3 separate regions of the Mus musculus genome follow, and regions 1 and 3 are each reported to be linked to region 2. Evidence: microRNA targets listed by miRTarBase, many of them from high-throughput screens and not tested one by one. Region 2 holds a microRNA gene; each other region holds the end of a gene's coding sequence.
What was found. The annotated mature microRNA mmu-miR-362-5p reads AAUCCUUGGAACCUAGGUGUGAAU and lies in region 2 at 1,239-1,262, opposite strand. An mRNA with a match to its seed (bases 2 to 7 or 8) in the 3' UTR can be bound and repressed. Matches are read on the target gene's strand: a 7mer-m8 pairs with bases 2 to 8, a 7mer-A1 pairs with bases 2 to 7 and ends in A, and an 8mer does both.

Region 1 (3,000 bases), not on the chromosome of region 2:
CTGGGCAGCCTTTGATGAGTTGTGAGGACACTGTAGGGTAGGCAGCGGAAGGAACCAGCAGGAGCGGTGCTGAGGCATGGCGTGGCAGACAGGACTCAGGAGACCACACTTCAGAACACTGACCCCAATCTTCATCCTCTCCAACCTTCTCTTGGTCTGAAACTTCAGTCAGGAGAGGAAGGCTGAGAGTGTGGTGTGTTAGTCCCGGCTCAGCTGACCTTGGCCTGAGGTACCTGCTAATACTCTTGTCTTCCTCCCTACAGGTGAGGGTGGTGAGCCTGAAACCCGAGGTGGCCCAGATCGACCTGTACATCCTCGGCCAGGCTGACCACTTCATTGGAAACTGTGTCTCCTCGTTCACTGCCTTCGTGAAGCGGGAGCGGGACCTCCATGGGAGGCAGTCGTCCTTCTTTGGCATGGACAGACCCTCCCAGCTTCGGGATGAATTTTGATCCCATCTGAAGCCCCCACCTCCCACCCTCAACCAGGCTTGGCTGCTAAGGATGCTCCTGGGATTACACATCCCTTTTCTTTTCTGCCAGAGGTGGAGAACAGTACCAAGGACGTCCTGGAAGAGAAGGCATTCCATCCCAGGCATTGGCTCCCATGGTCCCCAGCCAGGGCTGCTCTGGGCTGCATGATCATGCACATACAAAGCAGCCCACCTCCAGCCTGGGCACACCCTGATATATACACATACATACACATAATATATATCATATATATATATATATATGTGTGTGTGTATGTATATATATATATATATATATATATATATCATATATATTTTCCCCCCCTTGGTTGAGGGTTTGGGGGAGGAGCAAAGGGGTAAGGTTAAGATCTAATCTCATATAGCCCAGGCTGGCCTTGAACTCCTGGTCCTTCTGCCTCTACCTCCTAAGTGCTGAGATTAGGAGTGTCTACCACAACACTCACTTGATCTCTGTAGTTTTGATGCAAAGCCATGCATGACTACCTGAAAACTCCCCTTTGTTTTTAAAAATCAGTGGAGTCCATTAGCACAAAAGCCTAAAGTGACCTTATAAATGAAATGCAGACAAAGCCAAGAAGCAAGTGGGCCTATTGGCTGCTCTTCTGGGGGTCCCCTAAAGGGCCCTCAGACTTTCCACTGCCAGGCCCAGCCACTGCCATCCCTGGGCTCCTCTGTTGTGAACACAGCAGGCAGGAGTTAGCAGTGCTCTGAGGACAGGTATGTGCTCCCACCATGGGTGGCAGTGTCCGGGCCTCAGCAGTATCACTGCACAAGTGAGGCTGGCAGGGTGCACTGAAAGCTGCTGTCTCTAAGACCCTCCCAGCCTCTGCTCTGTGGTCTCAGCCCTCACTGCAGCTGTCCCCTAAGGACTACTCACCAAGCCTCTGACATGTCCGTGCACAGAGGCCATGTGAAGCCCCAGGTTGGGAGCAGTCTTTGTCCCTCCAGCCAGTGTGGTGAGGTCCTCCTGATGCTGCTGCTCTCATTCATAAGAAGTGAACTCTAGGTGACGGGCCAAGTGGTCCTAGATTCTGCCTTGCACAGGGACATTTAGAGGCTGGAGCCCCAGTGGGTGACCATGCAGACCACCCTGACGGGCACAGCATTTCTGAAGAGCAGGTGCTGGGCTCTCGTCTGTGGCAAGCACTGTACTCTTTGACCCCGTTTCTCCCCTGTAAGTGCTGAGTCTGGTGGGTTCTAAGCTTCACGTCAGCTCATGAGTGTTGTAAACCTGGGCTAGAACAAGACTCCCATGTGGCCATTGCCGAGTGTAACTGTTGCTTACTGCCAGGCGCTGTGCTGGGGCCTGAAGGGCATCCTCTTACTTAGTTTGCCCCTGGTTTTATCCTTTTCTTTCTGACCAAAAAAAAAAGTGACTGTTTAGAGACATTTTCTCCCAGGCAGGGCTGCATAGCTGTGGGTGGTAAGCCAGACCCACTGGACTCTGTGTGTTGCTTCCCAGGACACATTGTGCACTAAAGGACACTAGGAAAATGATGAGCCACCCGACTGCCTCTGCATACTGCTGTTGGCTTCTGCTGCCAGCCCTATTAGGAAGCGACATAAAAAACAGGAAGCTCTGGGTAGTTACAGTACCTGTTTTCCTTCAGGAAGTGTTCACTGATGGCCTACTGTGTGCTAGGAAGGAGGGTGGCAGCAGAGAAAGCTTAAGACCCAGGATTGCTGTGGAAGGGAAGAGCTGTGAAGAATGCCAAGGGGAGGGGCTCAGGGAAACTGTTTTAAAGGAATCACCTTAGGGAGTGGAGGAGGACTTGCTCAGCTGAGGAGGCTGCACACTCCCTGCAGCAAGCATGGCACGTGCCAAGGCACTAAGGCAGGAAGGGACAGCAAGGGAACATCTGGAGATGAGGTGCCAAGATGACGTCCCAGAGGGGAGCTGGTGCTGCCTGTGGGTGAGAGGCTAGGCCATTGTGCTGGAGGTGGGAGAAGAAATCACATTCTGAGTATATCAAGTTATTTTTGTATTTCAGTCTCTTTTTTTAAAGGCACCAGCCTACATGGTTGTGCAGTATATTCCATTTAATGTCTTGGGTTTTGTTTTTGTTTTTTTTTTACTACATAACCACACATCCTATTTTTCCTGTGTGAACATAGCTGAATAGATGCTTTTAATTATGTAAGCTTCCACTGAGGAGTGTTTCATAGTTTGTGACTCACCTTCTATGAGATCAATCCCCAGCTGTTACTATTGGATTTTATCCCCAAGGTTTCTTTGTGTACCCCTTGCTGTCTTAGAACTACTCACTCTTTAGACCAGGCTGGCCTCTAGTTCTCAGAGATCACCAACCTCTATAAGAAAATTCAACTGTGCTCAAAAATTGTGACTTTAAAAAACTGAGCTCACGGTATTAACAATTTACTTCAGCAGCTAGTTCATTTACTCCCCACTCCTAATCGGTCTGGAGACTGGCTTCCTTTTGTACTCTGGGGTAGGGTCTTCTGTGGGCCAGTCTGGCCTGGAACTCTTGATGTAGCCCAGACTTATC
Region 2 (3,232 bases):
GAAGATAACTCAATGTCTGAACCCTTGCCCAGGTATATTGCATTCGCAAAGCACACTCATCCAAGTAGCAAGTACTAGAAAGGCACAGCCTGCACCTATGCCCTTGGCATGTGGGTTCAACAAGAAGGCTTACTGTTCTTGCCCTGTGCATTCCTCCAAGAGTTGAACTAAAGAAGAATTTCTCTTCCAGGTGTCGGTATGAGAACTAGAATGAAAAGCTGCGCACTTATGTCAATACACAGTTTACTATGTGCCCCACTTGTTCTTGATACCTGTTAGGGTCATAAGTGGAAATAAAGTTCTACCTATAAAATCTAGGTGGGAAGAGGCCAAATTTGTCACATTTACTCTCCCATGCACCATGCCCGTTGTATTTGTAGAAGGAAAGAAGGTGGGGGGAGGCATAAAAGAAGTATGCAAGCAGCAAACAGATGAGATATGATGCACAGACCTCCTGTCCTTCTCCATGCAGATCAGGCTCACCTTCCCCAAATCCTTGCCCGGGTGCATTGCATACAAATAGCATTTTCACCCAGGGACAAAGGATTAGAGAGGATGAGCAGAGCAGAAGGCCCAGGCACCTGTACCATGTTTGTGTGGTTCTGTATATAATATTTAATTTTCCTTGTCCTGATTCAGCCAAGCATCACCACCTATACCCAAGCTTGACATCCCTGATTTATATATGTATCTGCCCCCTTCCCACCATGAGCATCCTCTCTCAGAGAAAACTTCTACGTATACAAAATGGTATCTCTCCCAGATCATACTTGAGAATTTGTGGGGGCCTGATTTATGTTTGGAAGGTAGCAAGAAGGCTGGGATCTGAGAATGCATATACATACTGAAAGAGGGCACAGTGGAGGAGGATACTCCATTCCTTTCCAATGCCTTTATACAATTCAAGCTTTGTGGAACAGGGGTTATCACTGGATGTAACAAACGGGTTGCCTGAGTAGCAGCACCTAATGTGTGCTCCTCATCACATGATCTGACACTTAGCAAACTGGGAATCAAGAAAGCTCATGCTGAGAATAGAAGCATGTCTACCAAACATGATAAAGACCATTTTGCTGTTAGAAAATGTGTAGAACCAAGTCTGACAGCTAAAACCAAAATCAAATGGTGGCCAGGAGGAGGGAAGGTGGCAGGTGAGATGTGCAAGTATGGGCCATTCTACACGCAGACAAGGCTCAGCCTCTTTGAATCCTTGAACAGGTGTGTTGCACTGAAGCAGCATTCACACCTAGGTTCCAAGGATTCGAGAGGGGGAGCAAGCAAGAAGGCTCAGGAACCTGCCCTTCCTGTGTGTGGTCAATATGCTTGTGTGCAACACACTAAAAGAGAACGAGAGATGCGCTCTGTCCTTTACAAACACAAAGGTCTGGCTCTCAGAATCCTTGCTGAAGAACACTCTCACCCAGGTAGCAAGGATCAGAGAACTGAAGCAGGGCAAAAGGCTCACAGCAAATGAACGCATGGGCTCACCTTTGACACAAGGTGCTTATCTGTGATGAGAAAGAAGACAATGTTCTTGAGCTTCACATTAAGTATGTCTAGGCACCTGAGTTCAACTCCCAGCCTCCACATAAAAGAGCCAAGCGTGAGGACTCAAAGAAAGCTAGATCCCTTGGCCTAACTGGTGAGTGCCAAGTCCCTATTAGAGACTGTTTCAAAAAACAGGGTAGATGTCCCCAAAGGGGAAGCACCTCAGGTTGACCTCTGCACCCTCCACACACATACACAGAAAGAGAGAGAGAGAGAGAGAGAGAGAGAGAGACAGAGTGACAGACAGACACAGAGACAAAGAGAGACAGAGACAGAGAGACAGACAGACAGACAGACAGACAGAGACAGAGAAACCTGTCTAAATATATACATTCATATTTTGTTCTGAGATTATAAAAATATAAAGCCAGAGATACAAAATACTGAAAGAAAAAAAGACAGAGAGACAGAGAGAAGAGGCCATAAGCTCACAAGATGGCAGTAGAGATTGGCATCCTTTAACACACATCAGCATCTTGTTAAAGTTACTTCAGATACCTGGAGGACTTGGTACTAAGATAACTTACAGAGGTTTCTCATTAGTGAGCTCAAGATTTTGTATTTCTAAAAGGGGCTGGGTGATGCTGGGGACCTTACCAGCATCATGGATAAGACAGAGAAACTGTGGAGTTTGGTATCTACAAACCCTGTTTCAAACCTATACTTCACCATGTACTGGATTAAAGAATCTACCTGCTTTCTCCAAGGTCATGGACTACTTCTAAAAAATGAGAATAACAAATGCTATCTCTTTAAAGAGTACCAAAAAAATTAGGTAAGATGCAAGCCTAGAGTAGGATGCAGGACCTGGCCCCTGGCTATTATTTTTACCTCTTACACTACCATTTTTGTACACATGTGTCTAAATGAATGTCCTGTTTACAATAGTATGGTCATACTCATATATGCAAAAGCCAGGTGAAGGAGGCATGAATATCAGTGACTCGGAGAATCTGTAAAAGGCAATGCAAGGACTGGCTCTCTGGTAATTCTTCTTCAATGTGCCTAAATCAACGAAGTTCACACCCCTTTCTGTGAGGGATATGAAAGACAAAATCACAAGTTTCAATCTTTCACTTTCCTACTATATGTCACAGAGAGTGAAGAGAGTCAGGAGTAAGGAGAGAGGGGAGAAGTAGAGAAGGGGGGAGAGCGAATATAAATGAATGACAGTAAGGCATTTTTCTCTATGAGAAAACAAGTGTATCAAACAAAAGAAACCTTCTATGCTCACGGGCCTATATATGATGTACACCTAGCTATAGATGGGCTTCATTCATATTTGTTCTCCTATCTACCCAGCTGATGCAAAAGCATATCTATGACTGTCTAGGTATGTGTTTACAAAAATGTCAGTGTTAACAAACAAGTATACCTTCCTATAACAGCTCCGTCAAAGATGAAAACCAAGAGAGCCCACTACCCTTCCTTAGAGGTGTAAGAGAACAAGGTTAGGGGAGCAGGACTCTGTTCCTGCTAAGCTGTCAGTGGGCCTCTGCATTTGAAGGTTGCCTATGTGTGCTGAGAACGTGATGAATCAGGTTTGACACTTAGAAAGTGGAGGCTAAAGTAAGGAAGTGCATCCTGCAGCTTCTCAGGCATGTATATGTGATCGTACACAGTGAGAATGATTTTCATCCTCCTGTATGCACATGCTACAAAGACTGGACTGCCCAACTTACCA
Region 3 (3,000 bases), not on the chromosome of region 2:
ACTAGGAACTGTGATTTAAAGAAGCAAGCCTTTAAAAGGTAAAAGATTAACAGGTGAGCTTCTGTTGCTCTAATAGTTGCCAGTCTTGCCCCAGTACTTGGTCCTTTTTTTCACTCTTTCATCTCTTTGGGAGTGGGCAGACCCCTGAATCTAGGTTCTGCTTATTTTGCCTTTTTTTAAAGTTTTATTTGCCAAGGCAGGGACAACTCATGGCCCCAGGAGGTAAATACTTTGACATACTTGAGTGTAACCTAGATTTTATCCATAGTTGTACAGTCATCCTGTTATCATGGAGTAACTATATTATTATGGGGTAGAAATTCAGGTTTGTAGATGTATAAACTGACATGACCACCCCATGCTATGGTTTTTGTTAGAGATATGAGAGAACAGCCAGAGGCATCTGGAAGAAGCCAGTGCAGAGAGAGGAAGTAGATTGAACATAGCTAGGGTGAGAATAGCAGAGGAAAGAGAATAGAGAAAACATTGTTGAGAAAAGCATTAGCAGAATGAGTAAGGGGGTGGGGCACACAGTAAGAACAGGGTTACTAGTGGAGAGCAGGATAGAGGAGGAGGTAAGCAGGGTTAAGGATTAGCATGGACTTTGCAATGTGTAGTAGGTACTTGTGAGCATGTGCTCTCATGTCTCTTCTACCATAAGGGAAATGACTCATTTTGGTCTGAGGACCAGTTCCTGAAGAATGCCGATTTTTATCTAACTACCAGAAACCCACCTATAGTCCACATTGACCTCATTTCTAGATATTTGAAGCTTCCTGTGAACCTTCCAGGTTTTTGTGTGTGTGGGTGTTTTTTTTCCCCCTTTTGAGACAAGGTCTTCCATGTATCCTAGGTTGGCCTAGAACTTGCTATATAGACCAGGATGGCCTTAAATTCAGAGATTTGCCTGCCTAGCCCCTACAGCCTCAAAAGAAGATAAATGTATGTTATTTCTCTCTTGCTGTGATAAATCACAACCAAAAGTTGATTTATAGAACAAAGAGCTTATTTGGATTCTAGAAGGGGAGAATCCATTATGGCAAAAAAGAGTGGCAGCAGAGCAGGAAGCTGAATGAACACATACCAACAACACTGTTCACTTACCAGCAATCTAAAACGTGAGGTTAGCATGGACTTTGGACCTTCTGCCCTAGCGGAGTCTGCAGTCTAGATCCTGTGTACTTACCTACAAACACATGGAGCATTCAAAGAGATCCCAGCCAAACTTGCTTGTCCTCTTCTCCTATTCTTCATGGATTTAAGGCAAATTCTTAAAAAACAGCATGCTTGTTTAAATTGTAAAATTGAACAAATCAACTGTTAGGACAAGCAAGCCATGAGCATCATTGTCTGTGGAGCTCTAGAGCCCTTGAGGGTGATTCACTTGTTAACTGGTTTATATACTGAGAGTCTTAATTATTAAGACATACGAGAAATTGAGGAATGGGTATGATGAAGCGTGCTTATAATCACAGCACTGGGGAGGCAGAACCAAGATCACAAATTTGAGGCCAGCCTAGGCTGCCCAGTTAGACACATTGCTATCTCAAAGCAAAGGGCTAACAATGTGGCTTAGTGTGCAAGCCTGAGATTGATAAGTACAACTGTGCCCCTAACCCCAAAATAAAGCATGGGAACTTAAGTGCATTCAGTGTCAGCCTCTTCAGAATTCCACAAGCATAGGAATAGCTTGTAAGGAAGCCGAGAACCCTGAGGGCATCCTAAGGAGAATGAACCATGGAGTGGAGTGACAGCGCTGAGACTGGCTGAAGATTCCATCACCACCTCTGCATTCCTCTTGCCCTTTAGCCAGGAAATGGAGACTGAGAGCAAAGGTCGGTGCAGTGCCTTGTGGCAGAGTCCCTGGAGGTCTGAGGATGACCCTGGGCTGGACTGGATCTGAGGAAGATGAGAGCCTTCAATCCCTGGCCTGGGCCCTCCTTCCGGGGACATCCTGGGGTGAATATGGCAGCCTCCTTGGAAAAGCTTCACTAGGAGGGACCTGGAATGAGAGAGATTCTCAGTTCTCACACACAAGTGGAGAGGGCTGACCATCCTCCTTGGTGGCCAGGGAGTTTCCAATAATTTAGATGCAGTGATACAGACCAGCTTCTACACCTGTCTTAGTATTCATTTAGTCCCTGCAGAGTTGACAGCAGCAATCTGGAGTATGGTACCTCTCAAACGCCATACTCACGGTACTGAATAAGTCTCAGAAAACAAGGGTCAGTGCCCAAAAAGATTAAGGACTTTAAAAATTAAGATCTTAATTTCCAATCCAAAGAATGCAGCCCTTTTGGATTTCAGGAAGACAATGGGAATATACACTTGCACAATCATTAAATCTTTTATTTACATATAGAAATTAGAAAAACTTAAAACAAAACCAAATGCAACTTGTACAGAAATCCTTTAATTTTCTTTATTTTCACACATTAAAAAAATGAAACACACTATACAAATGGTTTTCATAGCAGATTACACGTGGGTCCATTCAGACTCGCTCTCGTGTGCTGCCTCAGACGACAGCTGTTAACCAGGGAGCCAATGTATTGATTTAAGTGCGGTAGCATGCAGCCTCAGCATGGAAGGTTCGGTTCCCCTCTGTCTGTGAGTTAGGGTAAATGGCATTGGCGTCTGTTTACAGACTGAAATGTGTCAGTCAGTCCTGAGCAGTCCTGCTGTAGCCTGAAACCAGCTGGTGGGAACTGTGGTCTCAGCTTTAAAAATGAAGGTCCAAATGGCGGCAGGCTGGCTGCTATGAACTTGAGTTGTTTCCATTTTATTCACTGGAACTATCTGCTTGTGGGTCATGCAGACCCTGCTAGATGGGTTAAGCCAAGTAACTGTAGGTGTCCTTCTCACCATCGACTCGCTCCAAATATTCTTTTTCGATGAGAATATCAATGCATTTCTGGGCATTGTTTTAGGAAGAAGAGGGAGTTAAAGGGGGAGAGAAATGAAAATAACCATCAGGAAAGAGGTCTGTCACCCTCACCA

Region 1: miRTarBase lists Pofut1 as a target of mmu-miR-362-5p. The part of its 3' UTR that is shown has no 7-base or 8-base seed match.
Region 3: miRTarBase lists Cul1 as a target of mmu-miR-362-5p. The part of its 3' UTR that is shown has no 7-base or 8-base seed match.

Annotation. Positions count from the first base shown.
Region 1 is chr2:153,265,432-153,268,431 of GRCm38, forward strand. Pofut1 (protein O-fucosyltransferase 1) reads left to right here. Exons shown (of 7, transcript NM_080463.3): 7 at 264-3,000. The coding sequence ends at 452. Among named protein-coding and RNA genes, the nearest start is that of Kif3b, 24 kb to the right of the region's middle.
Region 2 is chrX:7,240,781-7,244,012 of GRCm38, forward strand. It overlaps Mir362 (microRNA 362), which reads right to left and starts at 1,266; the gene lies at 1,202-1,266. The region is part of intron 2 of Clcn5 (chloride channel, voltage-sensitive 5); the gene reads right to left. It overlaps Mir501 (microRNA 501), which reads right to left and starts at 571; the gene lies at 463-571.
Region 3 is chr6:47,525,468-47,528,467 of GRCm38, reverse strand. It overlaps Cul1 (cullin 1), which reads right to left. Exons shown (of 22, transcript NM_012042.4): 22 at 2,324-2,914. The coding sequence ends at 2,834. Among named protein-coding and RNA genes, the nearest start is that of Ezh2, 68 kb to the left of the region's middle.